Linked DNA regions of Rhinolophus ferrumequinum. The protein of the gene in region 2 purifies or fractionates together with the protein of the main gene of each other region. This does not show direct contact. Links are inferred from orthologs where the notes say so. Each region holds a gene or a part of one and is shown on either strand. Other genes may lie near its edges.

Region 1 (10,121 bases), on a different chromosome or scaffold from region 2:
TGCTTACCTGTCAAGAGTTCAGGTCAAGCAGGTCTCCCTCTACAAAGCCTTTCTTGCTCATCCCTTCAACCCCCACCCCTACCCTTGGTCCCCAGGTAGAGCTCAGGACTTCATTTGTCCCTGTAGTCCAAGATCTAGTGCTGCTCCTGGCATATCATCAGCATTTGATGTATATTTTATGAATTAAAAAAAAAAAATGAATGAATGTGGAAGGTGATTTTGGGGGTTGAATTTGATAAACCAGACCAAGCCCACATGTGGTACCCCAGTGCCACCACATTTCTGATAAGAATGTCTTCCAAGTCATTTCTACTCCTTTCTAGAGCAGGGTCCCCTCTAGTCCTTTAGGCCATTTAGAGGCCACTTAGAGGCCTGGCCCCCACCACACACAAGTACACCGCTCCTTGGTCCCTGCGCTCCTCAAACACTGGCCCCTGGTCTCTTCTCTGATCTGTGTGAGGGTTATGCTGTTCAGGACAGTGAGCCCTGACACACCTTCCTGACCCATTTCACAGGTGCTGAGTCACCAGGTAGATGTGGGGCGGTGGGGGGGAGGCGGGTGGTGTTGAAGACAGGCAGCTCTCGTCATCCATGAGAGGCAACCCCCTTAGCGGGGCCATGTGGGGCCATCTAGGAGTGGGGGCAACACACAGTGTTTCTCACTGATATGTCATCACACTCTCGGGCTGGGTGAGCTCTTTGATCTCCAGTCCACTGACGGTACCGGGAATGGCAAGCATCCATGTCCTCTACAGCAGGCTGGTTTCCAGGAATGCCCTTGGCGCTGGCCCCTGCTGCCTTTCCACCAGGGCAGTGTAAGCCTGCCTTCCAGCCGAAGCACTTCCAATTTCCCTAAGTCAGCCTTCCCAGCCTCCCGTGGGCCAGGCATTCAGGTAAGTGGAGTTGGACCTGTTGATCTCCTTCTTGGCTCCAACCGCAGAGGTATTTCTTCCTCTAGGCAGGGCCCTGTCTTTACCATCCTCAGCAACAGTCAATTCTGTGAGCCTGCTCTTACGGGAAACCTGTTACTTTGGTTGAGGAGTAAAAGAGAGGCTGAACTTCAGTCTCGAGGAATCTCATAGTTTGAATGCTAACATGCAGGGCAGAGACTAAGCTCTTGGACAACGGGAGTTTAGAAAATCAAATCCAAAGGACAGACACATGTATGCTTTTCTTTTATGTTTTAAAACAAGCTAACTTAAGCCACGTGTTTTCCTATTCGAAAGATGTGGAGTTTGACCTCTGTTCCAACTGGCTCTGCCTCTGCTCTCTGAGCAGGCAGCTCTGGTTCCTGGGATCCGATGACAGTTTGGGCAGACACACAGGATGAAACCTACTTCACGCTGTACACCCAAAGCATCCTGGGTGGGCAGGGGGACTCCTGGTTCCAGCTGGGAGACGAAGAGGTAGGTACCAGTGGCACCTCTGAATCAATCTGGTATTCCGACCCCCCCCAACTTTCTGTCCCTTCTGCTACAGGAATGTCTTTGAGAGAGGAGACGAGGGGCTTCGAAGAGTGGGCAGATGAGAGACTCCTAACAGTAAAGATCAGGATTTGCAGAAGTGTGCATCTTTCCAGTAGCTTCCATCGTCCACTTTTAAACAGACAGCCTCACGGGCGGGGCTGGGTGGTTGGAACATGGGCTTCTGTGACTAAGACTTCTGGGGCCCCAGAGGCAAGTATTTCACACTCTTCCCAACCTTGAAAATAAACCAGTGTTGAAAACCACAACTTCTTTCTTGAAAGAGTTGACCCTGTCAGATAGCGAGTGGGTTTCTAGATATAAAAAGGTGGACTGCGGGGTGGGGTGGGGTGGTAATTTAGGAAAAGAGAGCTGGGAAGACTCGAATACTCATCACAGAGCAAAGAATCAGGCTTCCCAGAGTCAATCCAGGAAGGGAGATGAGGCGGAGGATGGGAAGGGAGTAGCAGGAGGAAGCTAGATTAGACACAATGGCCTGGGGAGCTTTGTGGGGTGGTGTCGCCAACGAGAAATCCCAGGTGACGATATAGCCAAAATAACTTTTCAGAACATTTCAGAAATGTGATTTTAAATTGTTTGCTGTATGATGTAATCTCTCCCCTGTGGCCAACAAATTTTCATTAAAAGTTCTACTACATGTTATAGCATTATTTGTGTGGTTGTTTTGGAATAGGGGGTGGGGGTTGGAAAGAACAGGGCTGTGTTCCCTATGTGAATTGACCGCAGGAACTAAAGAAACAGCCACCAGACCAGAACACTGAATAACACTTCGCATGAGGCAGAAAACTAGAGCCGGAGGTAACCAGGAAAATCAAAGTTCCCCCAGTAATACACTGAAATCCTGGGGAGGGCATTGGACTTTCCACAGGACGTGGGAGTTCAAGACAATGTCATCTGAATCTCCAAGGACACGCTACCTTAGGTGACATTAGGTTACAGATATGCTTTGCCTCTCCAGCTGGACTAAGCCTTGCAAAACATAAAATGTATCACGCGGATCTTTACTATCCAGGGCCTAGAACAAAGACAGAACGTAGTAGGGCCCAATAAAAACATGTGAATGGTCCATGAACGCCCTGGGTGCCACACTGGTAGCTGACCGAATCTAATGGGGGGCGGGGAGGGAGGGAGGCGCGAAGCAGGAAAGCCTTTCAGTCTGGAAACTGCCCCCTCCCCCCTCCTGCTCTCCACCCCTCTGATCCATTAGCCCTATCCCAATGGCCAGATAACATCAGCTCTGTGGCCTAGAGGTCTGTAAACAGGCAAGGCCCAGCGAAGACAGCGGTGGAGGAGGTCACAAAAGGTTGTGCAGAAACCACATTGCTCTGAGTCTGTTCTGCCCACTCTTACGGAGTCAGAGGCAAACACTGCCCCTTGGGAAGGGGCTTCTGGTCTAAAGGGCTTGGGTCGGAGGCAGTGAGTGAGTGGGCTGTCTTAGGCCCCGTTGTTTCCTAGGACTGGCTGCAGGATGTGTCGTGTGGAGCTCTGGTCTTTGATCCCAAGCACCCCCTTACGCCGTTCTGAGGCCTTGCGGGGAACCCCACAGCCCAGTCTCCCCAGTTCTGCGGCATCCCTGCAGGAACCACGCGCCGCTCACAGGGCTGATGGCGCCACCTGGCGGCGCCCCGGAGCCCACTCACTCTGGCAGCTTCACCCGCGAGCTGGGAAGTAGGAGGGGTGGCTCCAGGGGCCCAGTCCTGCGTGGTGACGTCATGACCCAGCGCCGTTTCTCCCCGCCCATTTCCCCGCCCCGGAGCTGCCAGTACTTGACGTGGCGTCACCACCCTCTACCCTTACTTTGCGTGCGTGTGTGCGTGCGGCGGAGGTGGCTGCGCGGGCTGGTCGGAGCTCGGCGTTGCTGCTTTTGGGGCTCCTGTCGCCGCCGCGCTGTCCGGCTGTCTCGGGCGGCGGAGCGGACGAGGCGCCGGCCCCAGCACCTCGGCACCGGACGCGGCTCAGCGTGGAGCCGGGCGGGAGGGTGGGCGAGCGCGTGTCGGAGTGCTCCGCGCGGGCGGGTGGGCGGACGCCCGAGAGGGAAAGAGGCGGGGGCGGCGGATCAGCCGCGGGCCCGGCCGGCCGGGGGATGTCGATGCCTGACGCGATGCCGCTGCCCGGGGTCGGGGAGGAGCTGAAGCAGGCCAAGGAGATTGAGGACGCCGAGAAGTACTCCTTCATGGCCACCGTCACCAAGGCGCCCAAGAAGGTGCGGGGGTTCTGGGTGGCGGCGGGGGCCCGGACTGGGGCCTCGCGGAAGGGGCGCGAGCGAGCCCCGGGCTCCAGCTAGTTCGCGACTTTTGGGGCGAGGGGATCGGGGACGACTGAGATGGGGTAGAGGTGGCGGGTGAGCGGCCCCAGGCCTATCCCGAGCTGGAGAGGCCGCCCCTGACCTCACTTTCCTTTGTCCCTCGGCCCCAGTCCTTCGGGATCTTTTTGAAACCTGACAGGGCTGGGCCTTAAATTTGTCCGTGACTTTTCTGGGGTGAAGGGCCTCGAAGACGGGAGTCGGAGGGGGCGGACCAACTCAGTTGACCCTTGTTGCCAGCCCCAGGGGATGGGGGTGTACAGAAAATCTCCTTTCAAATGAGTGGGTAAATCTGGTAAAGCTTCTGTAGGCAAATCTTTGCAAGCAGTGGCCGGTTTATCCAACAACTGCGTGCTAGCCTGGAGACAAGCGGGAAAAATGCGTGGAGCTAGCTCTGTTATGCAGGGGAAAGCAATGAGGGCATCATGAGATTGAAAAGAAAACTGTGATTTTTCACCTACAGTCATCCAGTTGCTTCGACACCCGTAAAAAATTAGTATGTGGAGGTTGGTGACGGGAGACACTGTCATGGATACAGGTTGATCGCAGAGTCGTGAATAGACCACTTGGGCTTTCCTTGAGGAGGGAGCTAGGGTGGGTTGGACGGGTGGGTGGTATGGAGCGATTGCTCATTCTTGCCTGCACTTATTGAGGCAGAACAAGTTTCCTCTATTGTACTGTGGGTTGAGCTCAAAGGACGCCCTTCTCATTCTCTTGTCGTGCGTGGAAGATTAAATGGCAACCTTTGGAGCTTTCAGTCTAACGAGCTCTCAGAATGGTGGAATTAGGATTCCTGGTGCTTTCTGAGCATTTGCTGCCAACCACATCTTGACTTTCCACATACCTGGCATCCACTTAACAGTACACCAGAGAACCTTCGCAGAGAGGTGACCTTTCTGAAACCAGTGAGAACCTGGATAAATATTTCCCTCTTGGATAAAAAGTGTTTCAAGGCTGTCCCTGCCTACAGCGTTTGATGGATACAGTGCTTGTATAAGCCAGGAACAAAGCCAGGTTTGCAGGAATGGTTAACAATCCTTAAGGCTCCTTCATCTGAACTAGTTAAGCTGTCCTAAATGGGAGACAGAACTTTTTTTAAGGAAATTAATCCACCTCTCCAGAAATCAAATGCAGGATCGAGAAGACAAGTCACGATTCTGTGGTTTAACTCCATTTTCTCACGAAATTGAGATCTTACTAGTAGAATGCCTTTAAAAGGGTGGTAGAAAAACCCTTGATTCTAAGGAGCCTGATTAAGCTTATTTTTAGTGCTCTCAGTTCAGCTGACTGCTTTGTTGGGCAGTAACCCTTTGCGATCTGCATTATATGGAGACACAGACACAGCCTTTATAAGCAGAATGCTTAAGGGCAGTGCCTGTGATGAGTTAGGGAAAAGACCTGGGAAATCGCTGGTACCCTAACTCCCTGAACTCTTCCTCTTCCCCGTTAGCCTGTCCCTCCTTTGGTTGCTTCAGGGATTAGGCACCTTTATTCGTACTTGCCTTTATTTTAGTAAACCTTTATTTTTGGAAATGCTGCTATTAATAAGACGAAGTTTGTATTGTAGATTGTAAACTCCGTCAAGGCAGGGACTCTGGTTCACCATTGTATGCAGTGTGCCTAACTGTCTGTACCTAGCATCCAGTAGGTACTCAAATAAGTGCCCGCCTGGCTAACTAGCAATTAAGACGTCTGTATGGCTGCCTACCAGGAATAAATAATCCTTTTTCCTCTTTTCTTCCCAGGAGGAATATTGCTAATGTATTATTGTCAGGCCAAGTGCTAATGATTTTAGAGATTCATTCCATTAGCTGACAGAAGCAGTCTCTGCTAGGAATTGGGGAAGACCCCGTGTAAATTTCCATTTGCTGGTAAATGTGTCCCCGTGTTTCTTATTAATCTTGCTCTTTCTGAGCTTTTATTGTTTAGCATTTACACAGCACTTTGTATTAAAGTGCTTTATGATGACTAATTACCCTTCCCCAATGATGATAAAAGGCATTTATTTAGTTGATGAGTTGGTCGAGGACTAATCAAGGTCATATAGCAGCAAGTTCTAGGCGATCCATTTTTTCAGAACTTTGGCTGAATCGGATATGTTGACCTAAGTCACTTTTGTACCTGTGCCATGCGTTAATACTGTGAGAAAGCATGAGGAAAGTAAGAGAAAAAATGTAGCTTGGCATGTGAGAAAAAGGCCTCTTCAAATGGTGCTGTCCTTCACCTGTGAGGATTCTGGTATGGCTCTCTAGACCAATTAATTCCTGGAGCATACGAAGCCCTGAGGCCCCTTGGGAATTGAGGACATTTCTGGTGCCAGTCAGAGGGTATAGGTTACTTCAGGGTGACTTTGACAGTCCTCAGATCAGTTTCCAGTGTAACTGGTGAAATTTTGTTTTCTTTGGGGAAGAATGGATGTCCGTCAAATACTGAGATTCTTCAATTATAATCATAATTTACTCGGTTTTGTATTCTGTCTGCCACAGTGCTATGTGGTGTAATCAAAAAATACAGTGAATGTCTAAATTTTAAAAAAATTATTACAATGAAAGCCATAGTCCCATCAATCCCTCTCAGAATATTCTCCCCCACTTCAAACACACGTATCCAATTGTTCTTGCCATTTTCGGAAGCAGTTCTGGAAGTCCTCTTTCATGAGTGTCTCTAGTTGCGCTGTCATGGCTGCCTCGATGTCCTGAATCGCTTCAGAATGTTTACCTTTCATGGTCATTTTGACCTTGGGGAAGAGCCAGAAGTCGGACGGTGCCAGATCCAGTGAATAAGGTGGATGAAGACATACCTTTTCTGCTACTTCGTATTGCAGAGGTGATAGCCACCTTGGGCCTTGGGAAATTGAGATTATGTCAAGTTGATTTTTTTTCCATAGGGTAAACCCAAATCTTCATCTTGTTGATAAAACTTCCTACGGTAGACATCTTTCTCTGGCAGGCCTGTCAGGTCATTTGCTGTTCTCTGTACTTCTGAACATTTGGTGGGGGCAGGAGAGGAGGCTCTCTGGAGTGATGCATTAGGCATTTGACCTAGGATTTATGCAGACCTGTACCAGCAGCACAGGAGGCTGAAGAAGAGAAAGAACGCAAAAGAAATTACTTTTGATCATAGGATATTCTTTATTTGAATAAAGCATATATTGCACTAATTCATCAAAGGGGTTGGCTGAGACTTAGGAAGCATACTAGGTAGAGCCCCAGTGAGTACTGTGTAAATGTTAGCCTGTTGGGTGGAACCCAGGGTCCTCCTCTTAAGGGTTATGTAGCTTATTCTTGGTGCAGAATTTATACCCGTACTTCTTAGAGTCACTGAGAAGAGATTTGATAGGTTGACATTTCCTGTCTTCTCCACATCATTAGTAGTATCTCTTGAGTCTCTAGAGTGGCTTCTGTTTTAGCGTCAGTCTTTGAACAAGAGTCAGACATGTAAGAAGATCCTATCTTGTTTAGATTTCTCCACAGATACTGATTACTTCTCTTTTTCTTACTTGATTCTGTTTAGTTTGATACTAGTTTCCATTATTACTTTGTTCTAAGTTCCTTTAGAGGTTTAACTTGTAACAGAGCAATCTGTTCATTGCCTAGATCCCTTTCTGGCAGTATTGTAAATGTGTGCCGTTTGTTTTATCAGGAGAGTATCATGTGGATTTAGTATGAGTTACCCAGTATAACATTCTTGTAAAGTTTTTAATGTATTTTGATACATAGAATATGGACCTTTAGTTGCCTGTGATTCCTCATAAGTTTACTCTGCCACCTCAAGTAGTTATGGTCTATGAACAAGTACCGAAATGCTCTCTTAGGGCTCTTATTTAAAGGAACTGGCCAGTAAAGTAGAACCATTTATACCTATCTGTTTCTCAAGTTTGGGAATATTGAGTATTAAAATTTTGTAATTTAGAACACATCATATTGAGGTGGGTCAGAAGCATCCCCATCCTGTATGAAGAACAATATATTTGCATTCACCAGAGGTTTTTCCAACCTGAAATCTGAGAATCCGGAGTTAAAGACAAAGTCTTAGCACAGGTTGTCCTTCAGGCTCTCGTCAACACTCTCAGTGCCTTGTGTATGGTGAGCAGTTAAAACTTCACGTGGAATTGTGGTCACCTTTTCTCTTCTGTTTCCGTGTTTCCTTTTGTTTCATTCAGGTAGTTTTCTGCCATCCCACTGTTGCTTGGCTGTTACCTGAAACCTCTTTAACTTTTCCTTTTTGTTCCTAAAACTGTGAGTAGTACAATGTAAGTCAAGCATTTGATTTTTGGAGTCAGGTTTACTTTGTCTCTACCATTTAATAGCTGTATGACTGGATGAGTGGCTTAACCTATCTAAGCCTCTATTTTTCTTTCTTTTCTCTTCTCTTCTCTTCTCTCTCTCTTTCTCTCTTTGACTCCCGCCCTCTCTTCTTCCTTCCTTTCTGCTATCTGTAAGTGAATTTATTTCGCTCTCATTTTTGGAAGATAGGTTTGCTGGGTACATACTTGTAGGTTGACAGTTATTTTTATTAATAGTTTGAAGGTATTTTTCCGTTGCCTCCTGGTCTTAATTATCACTAAATAAAAGTCTTTCTAATTATTTCTTTGTAGGGTATCTTTTTTCCCCCAGCTACTTGTAAGTTTTTGAAGACTGCATATCACAGTGGTCCAGGGCATGGACTTTGAGCTTCCATTTTCTTATCTGTAAAACGAGGAATGGTAATTGTACTACAGGACTGTTGAGAAGGTTAACATCTGGTAAATACTGCTTAGTGTATTTACTCCTTTATAACTAGGGTGACCATATAGCCTGCTGAGCCTGGTGTATTTGAAATATTCTTAAAGAGCCAAAACAAAGATGTTTCTATTGGAACGTCATTTTAACAGGAAAAAACTTTTACCTGACAGGTGTTATTTTATGTAGAGCTTACACCTATTGAACACTACAGTAGTTGCTGATTTCTAGGAGGCACATAGACAACGGGAGAACGTGGAGCTTGTGATGGAAATGGGATACGCTCTATCTGACCACTCCAGCACCCTGTCCTCCATACCACACATGCACCCACAGAAAGGGGGTGTTTATCAGACACTAGTCTGGCTGAGTCCAGGAGTTCGTTTCTTCAATCTGCAGTTGTTTGGGAGTCTTCCCAAACTAGAATCCGTGAATACCATGAAACCATTCCAAAACCTCCTCTGAGCTGTGACTTTATCTTTTTATATAGTCACCTTCAGATCACATCCCTGTGTACTGAAACTCCCTCCCCCAGGCACAATTTCTCTCTGCTCTGAACAGCCTGCTCCTAATTATGTATAACTGATTTTCTGCTGCAGAAATGTGTGGCCTTTGCTCACAGCAATTACAGAGTTAGAGTGGAACACCCAGGCGTTTGTCGACGCTCAGACTGGTTTCATTTTTATTCCTACCTCTGTTCAGTTTTTCTAAAGGATTCTGGTGCCTTGATCTCCGTATATGTAATGACTGGTAGGCTTAGCAATATACAATGGGGCTTAATCATTTACTGCCCAAACAGGACACCAAGTAAAAGAGCTGAATGAACTACCTGTAAAAGCTAGTGTTTGCAGTGCTGGGGGAGAGATTGGAAAGGACTCGGACAGAGCCACGAACCTAGGACTGTCTGAGCGTACTCCTCCTCTCTTGCATTTTTTAAAATTAAACACTAGTTGACATACAACATTATATTAGTTTCAGACGTACAACATAGTGATTAGACATTTACACACCTTATGAAGTGACCACCACGATAAGTGTAGTAACTGTCTGTCACTGTACAAAGGTATTATTACGTTATTGACTGGTTTCCCTGTGCTGTACGTGACATTCCCGTGACTTATTTATTTTATAACTGGGAATTTGTACCTCTTAATCCCGTTCACCTTTTTGCCCATCTCCCCACCTCTCTCTCTTTTGGTAACCATCAATTCATTCTTTGTGTCTATGAGTCTGTTTCTGTTTTGTCTGTTTCTTTTGTATCTTAGATTCCACATACAGAAGGTGAAAGAAAAAATTACACACATTTTAAGAAATGAAAAAACTATTAAAATTGTAATACTCAATATATACTGATAACAAAAGGTGAATACAAGTCATGTGTATACATTTTATTTTTTGCTCCTGCTTTCCTGCCGCGAAAGTCCCTGTGCTTCAGCTAATGTGCCTCTGTATTCAACCTGTAGGGCTTAATTGGCTTAAAATGTTCCTTACCAGTCCAAACCAGTTCACTTGTTTTAAAATGGTCACCCTGTACTCGGTTGTGTGCTAGAAAGAGGAGGGCTTGGCGACTGCTCACTGTTCTAGGCTGTTCAGCTTGGACCTGCCTCAGGCTCA
Region 2 (10,121 bases):
GGACATGGGTCATGTTGGATGATGGCCCTCCCTACTCCAGCATCACCTCATCTCAACTTGATCGTCTACAAAGACTGTTTCCAAATGAGGTCACACTCATAGACAGGACTATGTATGGAGGTCAGGACTTCAATACATCTTACTGAGGGACACAGTTCAGCCCATGACAGAGCCAACCCAGAAAGCGTCCATCCCCACTGCAAACCCATTCAAGACACTGCCACAGAGAAGGCGGGACACAGGGAAGGGGAAGGCGAAAGGGAGGGAAGGAGTAAAGTGGTGTGAGGTGCTGTAGCTGCAGCTGGGGCCTGCGGGGCAGGACAGAGCTGCACTTCCATCTTGTTAACGCAGAGGCAGGACGGATGGGGTCCGGGACTAGGAGGGGACTATGCTGGTGCTCAGAAGGGAAGGGGGCCGCATGCAGAGCCCCCAGAGCCAGCAAGTAGGAGCAAACCCAGGGGCCACCCAGGACAGTGGGCAGCTGCTGGTGGGGCTGGGGGAGGCCAGGGTGCTGGCATTTCAGCCTTGGGAGGGCTGGGCTCCCCTGGGCTGCCATCTCTTGCTGTCTAGACAGGCAGAGACCGATGGAAGCAGTGGGGCCAGTCTGGATGAGGGGCCAGTCCAGGCCGACTTGGCCATGGACACACAGCACTAGGCCGGGGAGCAGGCTGGGTCTCAGCCGTGTTCTCTCTCACTTCAGCCCAACCTGGCAGCACATACAGCAGGCGTGGGTGCTGTGTGCGACACTCAGGCCCCATGGAGTTGAGGACTGAATGCGGAGCAGGCAGGAAGCCCCCAGGTGCCCACCAGGGCCCGGTGTGCTCTGGGAGGGCCTGGCCCCAGTCCAGGGTGGCCCTGCCCCTCTCCCTGTCTGTTTCTGCCCCGCAGCATCTTATCTCCTCCCCCACCTGAGGCTCCTAAAGCAAATTCTTCCCTTATCGGCTGCCAAGCTCTCTGTCTGCACGTCTGCTCTGTCGCCTGTCAACTTGGGACTCTACCCCTCACTCCCTCTTTCATGCTCTCTTTCTCCCTGGTCCTCTTTCAGAGCCAATCCTGGTTGCCGTGGCAACGCTGCAGCGGGTACCAGGTGGCAGTTGGGGGCAGGGAACCAACACTGCCGCAGCCTCCACCATTTCCAATGCCGGGCACCCACGAGGTGCACTGGCTGAGGCTCATTTTGGGGGGCATTCATGGCCTCCCCAGGCCTCAAAGGCTTCTCACTGACCTGTGGGAGGTGGGGAGTGGGGAGGGACAGGTTTGGGAGTGAGAATACAGCACAGGGTGGGGGGGCCAGATGGCACAGCTGGGGAAGGGGAGGATGAAAGATGAGAAGTCAAGGTGAACTGAAGGAGGTTCTGGAGAGGGGCTGCGGTGAGGGGAACTCCATCTCCCACTGCGATGTGGGGAGACGACGGGGTATGACCAGGCCAGGCCTCCCTCGGACCTTGTGGTGGGGAGGAAATGATGTCTTGGCCCGGCTGGGCACAGAATGGCAGCCAGCCCAGAGGAGATGGGGGCAGGGGCTGGAAGGATGGCGATCCAGGGTGGAGAAACAGAGATGGAGACGGAGAGAGATCGGAGAGATACAGAGACCCAAAGGGAGCACAACATGAAGGACCATTGAGTGTTGACAAACACGGTGCCGAGGTGCGGGGCAGCAGCCGCAAGGATGGGCACTGGAAATGCACAAAGGGCCAGACGGAGAGCCCAGAGGCCCCATCACCATCTCCTCTCCCTGCTCCCAACCCTCTCAACCCCCACCCCAAGCAGGATGCAGTTTCCATGACAACCTGGCCGGCCAGAAGTGGGGGCAGGGGACTGCAGAGGAAATTTTCCACATCAGCAGGAAGGAAGGAGTCATGCAGAGAAGCAGCCCATACAGTGGGGGCCACGCAGGGCCAGTGGAACCCCAAATCATCATGCCCACTGCCCTCAGGATGGTCACCCTGCCCCCACCCAGCAAATCTGCACCCTCACCTCTGGGCCTCTGCTGGGAAGGGGGAAAGCTTGGGAAAGGCTCAAGGGTCAAATGTCCAAAGATCAACGGCTGCCCAGGCCTGGTGTGTGTGTGTTGGGGGGGCAGTCAGCAGACGACGGTGCTCGGATCGCAGACCACCAGATTCAAGGACATGGCCCTCGACAGGGTCCCGCGGAGGGTGGGGGTGGTGGGCTACGGCCGGCTTGGTGAGTCCCTGTCTGGGGCCTCTTCCCCAGGCCCCCTCCTGAAGCCCCCAACGCCCCCAGGTCCTCCACAAACACACCTTTCATCTATGCCTTTATCTGTGCCCTGGCTGTCTGTCTGCCTGATCATCTTCCATTCCCCACCACAGGGCTCCATCCTTCTCTGTGTCTCTGTCCCCCTCTCTCTGTTCCCCTCTCTGAGTTTCTTTCCCTCTCCCTAGGACAGTCCCTGGTCTCCCATTTGCTGACTCAGGGACCAGAACTAGGCCTAGAACTTGTTTTTGTCTGGAATCGCGACCCAGGACGAATGACGGGGAGCGTACCCCCCTCCCTGCAGCTCCAGAACCTTGCTGCTCTTGGGGAGAGGTCAGTGACCTCGCCATGAGTGGGGCTCCCTGAAGCTCCTGTTCTGGCCTTCCTTAGCTGCTGTGTGACCTCAGGGGAGTCCCTTACCCTCTCTGGGCCTTGGTTCACCCAAATGTGAAATGAGACAAGCCCATACATCCTGTTCCCCCTCCCAGGCCAGGGTGAAGAATGACAGGCCTCTATAGACTAAGGAAATCTGGGGAGGGGAGGCCTAATACCTCTCCAAGGCCCTCCCCCATCTCTCCCCTCTCCCAGGCACCCTGACCTTGTGGTGGAAGTGGCCCATCCCAAAATAATCCACGAATCTGGGGCACAGATCCTGCGCCACGCCAATCTCCTGGTGAGCCCTGCCTCTTCCGCCTCGGCCCCACCCCACCCCAAAGTGGGATCTACCCATCCCGACCTCAGTCCCTCCCACCTTCACCTACCCCAGGTGGGGTCCCCGTCAGCACTCGCTAACCAGGCCACAGAACAGCAGCTCCTGGAGGCCTCGCACGAGTGGGACCATGCTGTGTTCGTGGCCCGGGGGGCCCTGTGGGGTACTGAGGACATCAGCCGACTGGATGCAGCTGGAGGCCTCCAGGTGAGGGCCTGTGGGCTCCCCAGGATCCAGAAGGGGCCTGCAGAGACCCCAGGGCCCCCTGACCCTGGCTCTTACTTCTAGAGCCTCCGTGTTACTATGGCCACACATCCTGATGGCTTCCGGCTTGAGGGACCCCTGGCGGAAGCGCACAGCAGCGGGTCTCGCACTGTGCTGTATGAAGGCCCTGTCCGTGGACTCTGCCCATTTGCCCCCCGCAACTCCAACACCATGGCGGCTGCTGCCTTGGCTGCCCCCAGCCTGGGCTTCGACCGTGTGATCGGGGTGCTTGTGGCTGATCTCAGGTGAGCTAAGCTGGTTGGGAGTTTGGGCTGGGACTGGGCCAGCCAGACTGACCACCCTGCTTGCCCCAGCCTCACCGACATGCATGTGGTGGACGTGGAGCTGAGCGGACCCCCAGGCCCCACAGGACGGAGCTTTGCTGTGCACACCCACAGAGAGAACCCCGCCCAGCCAGGCGCTGTCACCGGCTCAGCCACTGTTACTGCCTTCTGGCGCAGCCTCCTGGGTGAGGCCAGGCCCCTCCCCAGTGCTAGCGGCCCCCGGCCCCAAGCCATGGGCTCTACGCTCTGCAGAGCTTGGGTCTCGATCCTGCAGTTCTGCTTTTGTGTCTGTTGGTTGACCTTTATTTCTGAATCTCCTTAACCTTCTATGCCATGACTTTGAATCTTTTTATCTGTGTCTCTGTCCACTCCCCAGGTCTTTGTCCCTTTTGCGGGGTCTCTCTCCCACTCTGGGTTTTGGTCCCTTTCTCTAGGTCCCCTCCACCCCAACCTTGGTCTGTCCTTTCCTCCAGGTGTCTCTCTCTCATTTCTCTGTCTCGGCCTTTCATCCCTCGTATCTGCCCGCAGGCTGCTGCCAGCTCCCCTCAAGGCCTGGGATCCATCTCTGCTGAGAAGCCTTCAGTAGAAGACATCCTCCTCTCCTTTACCTCCCCACCACCACCGTCCTGCAGCTGCCCTGGCCTCAGTTTCCCCGGACCTCCCTCCTGTCTCAGTAAAGATTGGAGGTTCTTACTGCACAGCCTGGTGTCTCTACTCCCTTGTAATTCTCTGTGACGTCAAGCTGCGCATTCGCACTATACATTACGCCATACCAGGGGGCGGGAACCCCGGGAGCAAAAAGCCTGGAAGCTATCGCGAGAGCGGACCCATTACATTTCCCAGAATCCTCTGAGCACTAGGGGGCGTGGTAGTGAGCGAAGGGGACTCTGTAGGGCACACTTCCGGGATTCTCCGCGGAGAACTACAGTCCCCGAAGTTGCAGCCCCGCGGTCTCCGAGCGGTAGCGGAACTTCCGGGCCACGCTGGCCCAGACGTTCCGTGCGGAGTAAGGGCACTTGCGGAGACCGCCGGGAGTCGTAGTCCGGCACGCGGCGGCCGCCGGGAGCTGTGGGCCGTCTGGCCTGCCCAGTCAGCGCCGTGCTGCCCGCCCCACACTCGGAGCCTACAGTCGCCGCCCAGGGGGATGCGGGAGCCCCTGGTTCCGGCGAGGAGAGAGGCAGGCGGCGTGAGGGGCGTTGCTGGGCAACGGGCAAGCGCTGCTGTTGGGGTACGGGTTGGGGAAAGGGCTCTGTTACTTGGTGTCCGGGGAGGGGGCCCTGTTGCCAGGTGACAGGAAGAGAAAACCCTGTTGTTTAGTGACAGGGGACGGGAGTCGTCTTGTTGCTAGGCGACCAGAAGAGACCCTGTTACCTAGAGACAGGAAAGTAGAATTCCTCTGTTGCTAAGTAACCAGAGGAGAGACTTGTTACCTGGTGGGGGGGTTCTCTGTTGCTAGGTGACCACCATAGGACCCTTTCACTTAGGGATGTGGTGGGGGTATTCCTATGTTGCTAGGTGAGCAGAAAAAGGCTTTTTCCTAGGAATGGAGGATGGAGGGTGTACCTATTGCCAGAAGAGCAACCCTGGAAAAGGATGAAGGGCCCAGTGTTCCCTCAGGCTGCTCTGAGCCCCAATCTCAATGGCGGTGCCCCTAGGGTCTGCTGACAAGTTGGGCCTCTAGACCCCAGTCCCCTGAACACCTTCTCCCCCTCCCCCCCGAGCAGGAGCCGAGGGCGGCATGTCCCAGGGCCCGGGAGCACAGCCGAGCCCGCTCCCCGTGTACCATGAGCGGCAGCGCCTGGAGCTGTGTGCCATCCACGCCCTCAACAACGTCCTCCAGCAGCAGCTCTTTAGCCAGGAGGCTGCCGATGAGATCTGCAAGAGGTGACCGTCACCCACCCAACCCCTGGAGAAGCAGGGCTCACAGAGGCAGAGCCACCCACCTGGGTCTCAGCGAGGCAGGGGCAGAGCCCAGCGGCTTTCTGCTGCCCCATCACATGCCTAAGCTGGACGCTGGGACTCAGAGATGGACATGTTGCCTCCCTGTTCATCCCCAAGCCTCACCCCAACTCAGGCCTCACCCTCTCTTATGTGGGCGCTGGTCCCCATTTTCCCTCTAGCCTCCCCGTTTCTGGGTTTTCTCCTCCAGTCCATCCTCACATGCCCCAGTGCTGCCCCTGCCTCTCCCCTGCTCACAGCCTTCCCGTGGCTCCCCAGCTTCCTGGGGAGAAGTCCCAAGGCCTGCAGCCTGATATCCAAGCCGCTCCGTGCTCTGTTCCCCACTGGCCTCTGCAGCTTCACATCTCACTACTCCCCAAAAACCACATTCCTCTCCCATCCCTAAAGGACCCCCACTATGATGCCCCTGGGCCTTTGCACAAACTGTTCTTTCTGCCTGTCACGGCTTCGTCCTCTTCGCAGCCTGGAATGTTCCTCCTCACTGTTCAAGATTTCAAACATCACTTCTTTATTATCTCTCTGCCTCGTCCCCCTCCTTCTCCCACAGCCCTGGCCCCAGCTCAGTACCCGTTGTCCCTTGGATCCCCCCTTCAGCCTGCCGTCTCTCCACCCCGGGCAGGCTCCACAGGGCCCTGTACCCAGAAGAGACCCTGTCTCCCTCTCTCTTGCTTGAGGCCCTCCCGTGGGCCCCCAGCATCAGCATCCTCAGGCTGAGTCTTATCCCCTCAGATTGGTTATTAGAGAGTTGACTCATCTCCTGTGTCATTCAACACAGTCGTGCCAAGGCCATCCTGGAGACCTAAAGATGTGTCCGATACGAGCCCTGCCCTGAGGGGGCCAGACAAACAGAATACACAGAAAAATAATATACAGATTTCGTCCTTTCCACCCCTCCCACTGCTCTGACCACCAAGAGCCCAGAGAGAGAACAGAGGTGCTGTTGTTCCGAGGAGGCGGGGCTGAGAGACGAGTGTTGGCGGGGTGACCCTCCTGCTCTGGGGGACAGCTGGAGGAAAGGCTGGGGGCAGGATCACAAGAGATGTGGTTGGAGACAGGTGGCTGGGAAGGGGCTGGTGGGGGCTGAGGCTAGGAGGCCAGCGGGGACCTGACCATGTGGGGCCTCTACGGCCAGGCTGAGGGGCTGGCACTCTATCCTGGGGTGACAGGGCACCAGGCAGGGCTGGGAGCAGAGGAGGGCAGGGTCAGCACCAGGTGTAAAAGATCCCCTGGTCCTGTGGGAGATGGACGGAGGGGGGAGACGAGGCTGGGTGAGGGTCCCGGTGGCAGAGGACAAGGCCTGAACAGGAAGGTGTGGTTGGAGGACAGGCAGAGTAGGGCCTGGGGCTGATGAGTCGCAAGGGTTAAAGAGCGGGAAGAGCTCAAAGGGTGGGTGACTCATGGACCCTGGGACTCTCCTGCTCTGTGGGGAGGCTTTTCAGTGACCCCGAACTCAGACTCTGATCACCCCCCAACCAGGTTGGCCCCCGACTGCCGGCTGAACCCCCATCGCAGCCTCCTGGGCACCGGCAACTATGACGTCAACGTGATTATGGCCGCACTGCAGGGACTGGGCCTGGCCGCAGTGTGGTGGGACAGAAGGAGGTGGGAGGCTTGGTGCCGTGGGTGCCACGTGATAGTGGATGCCTCGTGGTGGTGGTCAATGTGGAGGGAATTAGGAGGAAGGGGATGGGTGGGCTGGAGGGAGGAAGAGGGAGTGGGATGGAAGGTTTCCATGGTGGACGATGGCTGGCAGACTGATGGGCTGGGAGGTGACAGGAGGGTGTGTGAGTTTCTGGATGGTTGATGGATGGATATTGGGTAAATTAATGGTAACTGGGTGACTGACTGGAAGGTTAATGGCGCTTGGATGTGTTGAGTAGATGGTGATTGGGTGATGGGCTGTGTGAATGGTACGTGAGTGGCTGAGAGAATAAAGGATGGCTAGTTACCTGATAGGCTGTGGACAGCAAATAGGTGGGTGGGTGGGTGGGTGGGTAATGGGGGGGTAAAGAGTGGGTGAGTTGGGTGGCTGTTGAAGAAGCTTGTGGGTAGGTAGGTGGCCGGTTGGATGGTGGTGACTGCGTCAGTGGGTGGATGGTGTTTGGGTGAACAGTAGATGGGGCATTGGATGGTGAGTGGCGGTTAGTTGTTTGGGAACTTCGGATGGGTGGTGGGTGGGTGGTGTGTAGTGGATAAAGGACAGATCAATGGTAGATGTGTGCGGAGGGAATGGGGAGTTGGGTGGACGGTGGTCGGAGGCTTGGATGGCTGTGAGGTAGTGGGATGAGCAGTAGAAGGACGTTGGATGGCTGCTGGGGGTTTTTCATGGGTGGGTGGGTGGGTGGGAGAACAGGTGAGTTAAAGGAAACAGGGTGGGCTGACTGAGGAGGGTCCTTGGTGGGTTCAGGCGGCCCCGCTGTAGGTCAGCCTGGGCCGCGCACGCTCAGTGCCGCTCAGCCCTGCCCCCGTGTCCGGCCCCGCCCACACAGGCCCCTGTCCCAGCTGGCCCTGCCCCAAGTGCTGGGGCTGATCCTGAACCTGCCCTCGCCCGTGTCGCTGGGGCTGCTGTCCCTGCCCCTGCGCCGGCGGCACTGGGTGGCCCTGCGCCAGGTGGACGGTGTCTACTACAACCTGGACTCCAAGCTGCGGGCGCCTGAGGCCCTGGGGGATGAGGACGGCGTCAGGTGAGGGGGAGGCGATGAAGCCCCTTCCCCCAGAGGCCAGCCGAGGCCCCCTGGACCTCAGTCTCCCTGTCTGTCCGCCCAGGTCCTTCCTGGCAGCCGCCCTAGCTCAGGGCTTGTGTGAGGTGCTGCTGGTGGTGACCAGGGACGTGGAGGAAACGGGCTGCTGGCTTCGCACAGACTGACGCCGTGGAGGAGGGAACCACTGCCGTCCACCCAGCGTGTCCCTGTGCGGCTCCTGTGCCTGCGCCTCAGGGACCCTGCGGAGGCCCCTCCCCCTTTCCCCACCTCTGCTTCCCAATGCCGCTGCTGCCTCAATAAACGTGCAGATTTGCTCCAGGCCTGGCCCGAGTCTGACTGGGGCCCCCTTTTCTTCAGTTACTCCTGTTTATCACAGGCCGGGCACCCAGGCGGGCCATGCCAGGAACCCTAATGCTGGCTCTCTGCTGTCCCCCAGCTTTGTGACCTCCTGCGAGTCACACTGCCCTGGACCTCAGCTTCCTCCCTGCCCTCGTGAGGCCCACATTCCGGTGGCAGGGAGAGACCAGAAGTGAACAAATAGGTGCCAGTAGAGTGTTCGGAGAGAGAAGTGCCAAGGAGAAAGCATGGGTTTATTTCTTGACTCTCAATTCTATTCCTTCAATTGCAGTAGTGGCCTCAAAAGATGTCCCCGGCCTAATCCCTGGAACCTGGGGATATGTTCAGTCACATGGCAAAGGGGAGTGAAGGCTGCAGAAGGAGTCAGGGTTGCTCTGGGAGCTGACCTTGACATAGAAAGAGGATCCTGCACTCTCCGAAGGAAGGATGGTGAGGGTTCTGAAAGGTGGAGAGGGAGGTAGGAGAGCAAAGCCAGAGAAAGACTTGAAGAAGGCAGCAGGCAGGGTCTGAGAGCCAGCGCCCACATGGGGGCTTGGAACACACAGGGCCATGAGCCAGGAAATGAGAGCGGCTCCTAGGAGCTGGCACAGGCAAGGACGCAGACTCCCCCTGGACCCCCAGAAGGAACTCGTCCTGCCCACACTTTGACTCTAGTCCAGTGAGACTTATTTTGGAAGTCTGGCCGCCACAAATGTTAAAAGAATAAATGTGTATTGTTTTAAGCCATGAACTTTGTTAGAGCAGCCATGGGAAACAAATGCAGTGTTAGGGTTCATTTAGGGCGGTGGGCCTCCAGGAGAAGGTGTCATTTGAGCAAAGACTGGAAGGAGGAGAGAGAGGGCGCCATGGGCAGGTCTGGAGGAAAAGCATTCCAGGAAGAGAGCGGCCGTGCAAAGGCCTTGGGGCCTCGTGTGGAAAGGGAGAGGAAAGGAGCGGAAGGTGGAGAGGTGACAAAGGGGGAATACAATGCCCAGGGTGGGCAGCGGGGATCTGAGAGGAGCAAGGCCAGGGTCCCGTTAGCTGTCTTCCCCACATTCTCACCAGAGCAGGCCCCCTCCTGTTCTGTGTCCTTCCCCTCAGGGCGTGCTGTCCCTTCCTGCATCTCCCTGTTCTGGCAGCCTTTCACTCATCTCCTGAGCCCCAGCTCTGGGTCTGGCCTGTGCAGCCCGCTCTTGCCCTCCACAGCTCAGATGGGGAGGAAAACACAAGAGGACACAATTACCCCCTGTGGGGGGGCTTTAACAGGTTCCAGGGGTTCCTTGGGGTGCTCCAGGGGCCACAGGAAAGTGAGGGGACCTGGGGGGCTGGCTCTAGAAGGCTGAGGGGAGCTCTCCAGAGGGCTAGTGGGAGGGGAGGGGCGGGGAAGGGAGGGGCCTTTCCAGAATTGGAACCGACTCTGAGACCCAGAACACAGAGGGAAGCCATTCGCCCTGTACTTATCTGAGGAGGTGATGAGAGATGATGGTGGATCCTGGCTAGGCCCCACCCGCAGTGCCGCCAAGCGCCAGCTAAGGGTGGGAGGTGAGGGGGCTCTGAGCAGGGGGGCCAGGTCAGTCCTGGGGGCAACCCTCTGGGGCTGTGTGGGGGCAGACTGGGGACCGGGAGGCCTGGGAGGAGGCTGTGGAGTCCACA

The links. The genes of interacting proteins can lie anywhere in the genome.
Region 1: the proteins of JOSD2 (region 2) and AHCYL1 purify together in Homo sapiens (affinity purification with mass spectrometry; 4 studies listed by BioGRID and IntAct, counting the BioPlex papers as one, with this or other methods). This does not show direct contact. The link is inferred for Rhinolophus ferrumequinum from reciprocal best matches to the Homo sapiens genes JOSD2 and AHCYL1.

The regions. Positions count from the first base shown.
Region 1 is NC_046305.1:41,998,169-42,008,289, forward strand, and holds the start of AHCYL1 (S-adenosylhomocysteine hydrolase-like protein 1), read left to right. Parts: upstream 1-3,209; 5' UTR 3,210-3,567; coding exon 3,568-3,687; intron 3,688-10,121. UniProt on the Homo sapiens protein: Multifaceted cellular regulator which coordinates several essential cellular functions including regulation of epithelial HCO3(-) and fluid secretion, mRNA processing and DNA replication.
Region 2 is NC_046298.1:45,303,242-45,313,362, reverse strand, and holds JOSD2 (josephin-2), read left to right. Parts: upstream 1-4,325; 5' UTR 4,326-4,699; intron 4,700-5,195; 5' UTR 5,196-5,209; coding exon 5,210-5,355; intron 5,356-6,906; coding exon 6,907-7,032; intron 7,033-7,919; coding exon 7,920-8,114; intron 8,115-8,196; coding exon 8,197-8,296; 3' UTR 8,297-8,450; downstream 8,451-10,121. Other genes in the region: ASPDH (aspartate dehydrogenase domain-containing protein), read left to right, coding at 2,130-2,184, 2,403-2,547, 2,803-2,887, 2,981-3,130, 3,212-3,432, 3,502-3,656, 4,000-4,043. UniProt on the Homo sapiens protein: Cleaves 'Lys-63'-linked poly-ubiquitin chains, and with lesser efficiency 'Lys-48'-linked poly-ubiquitin chains (in vitro). May act as a deubiquitinating enzyme.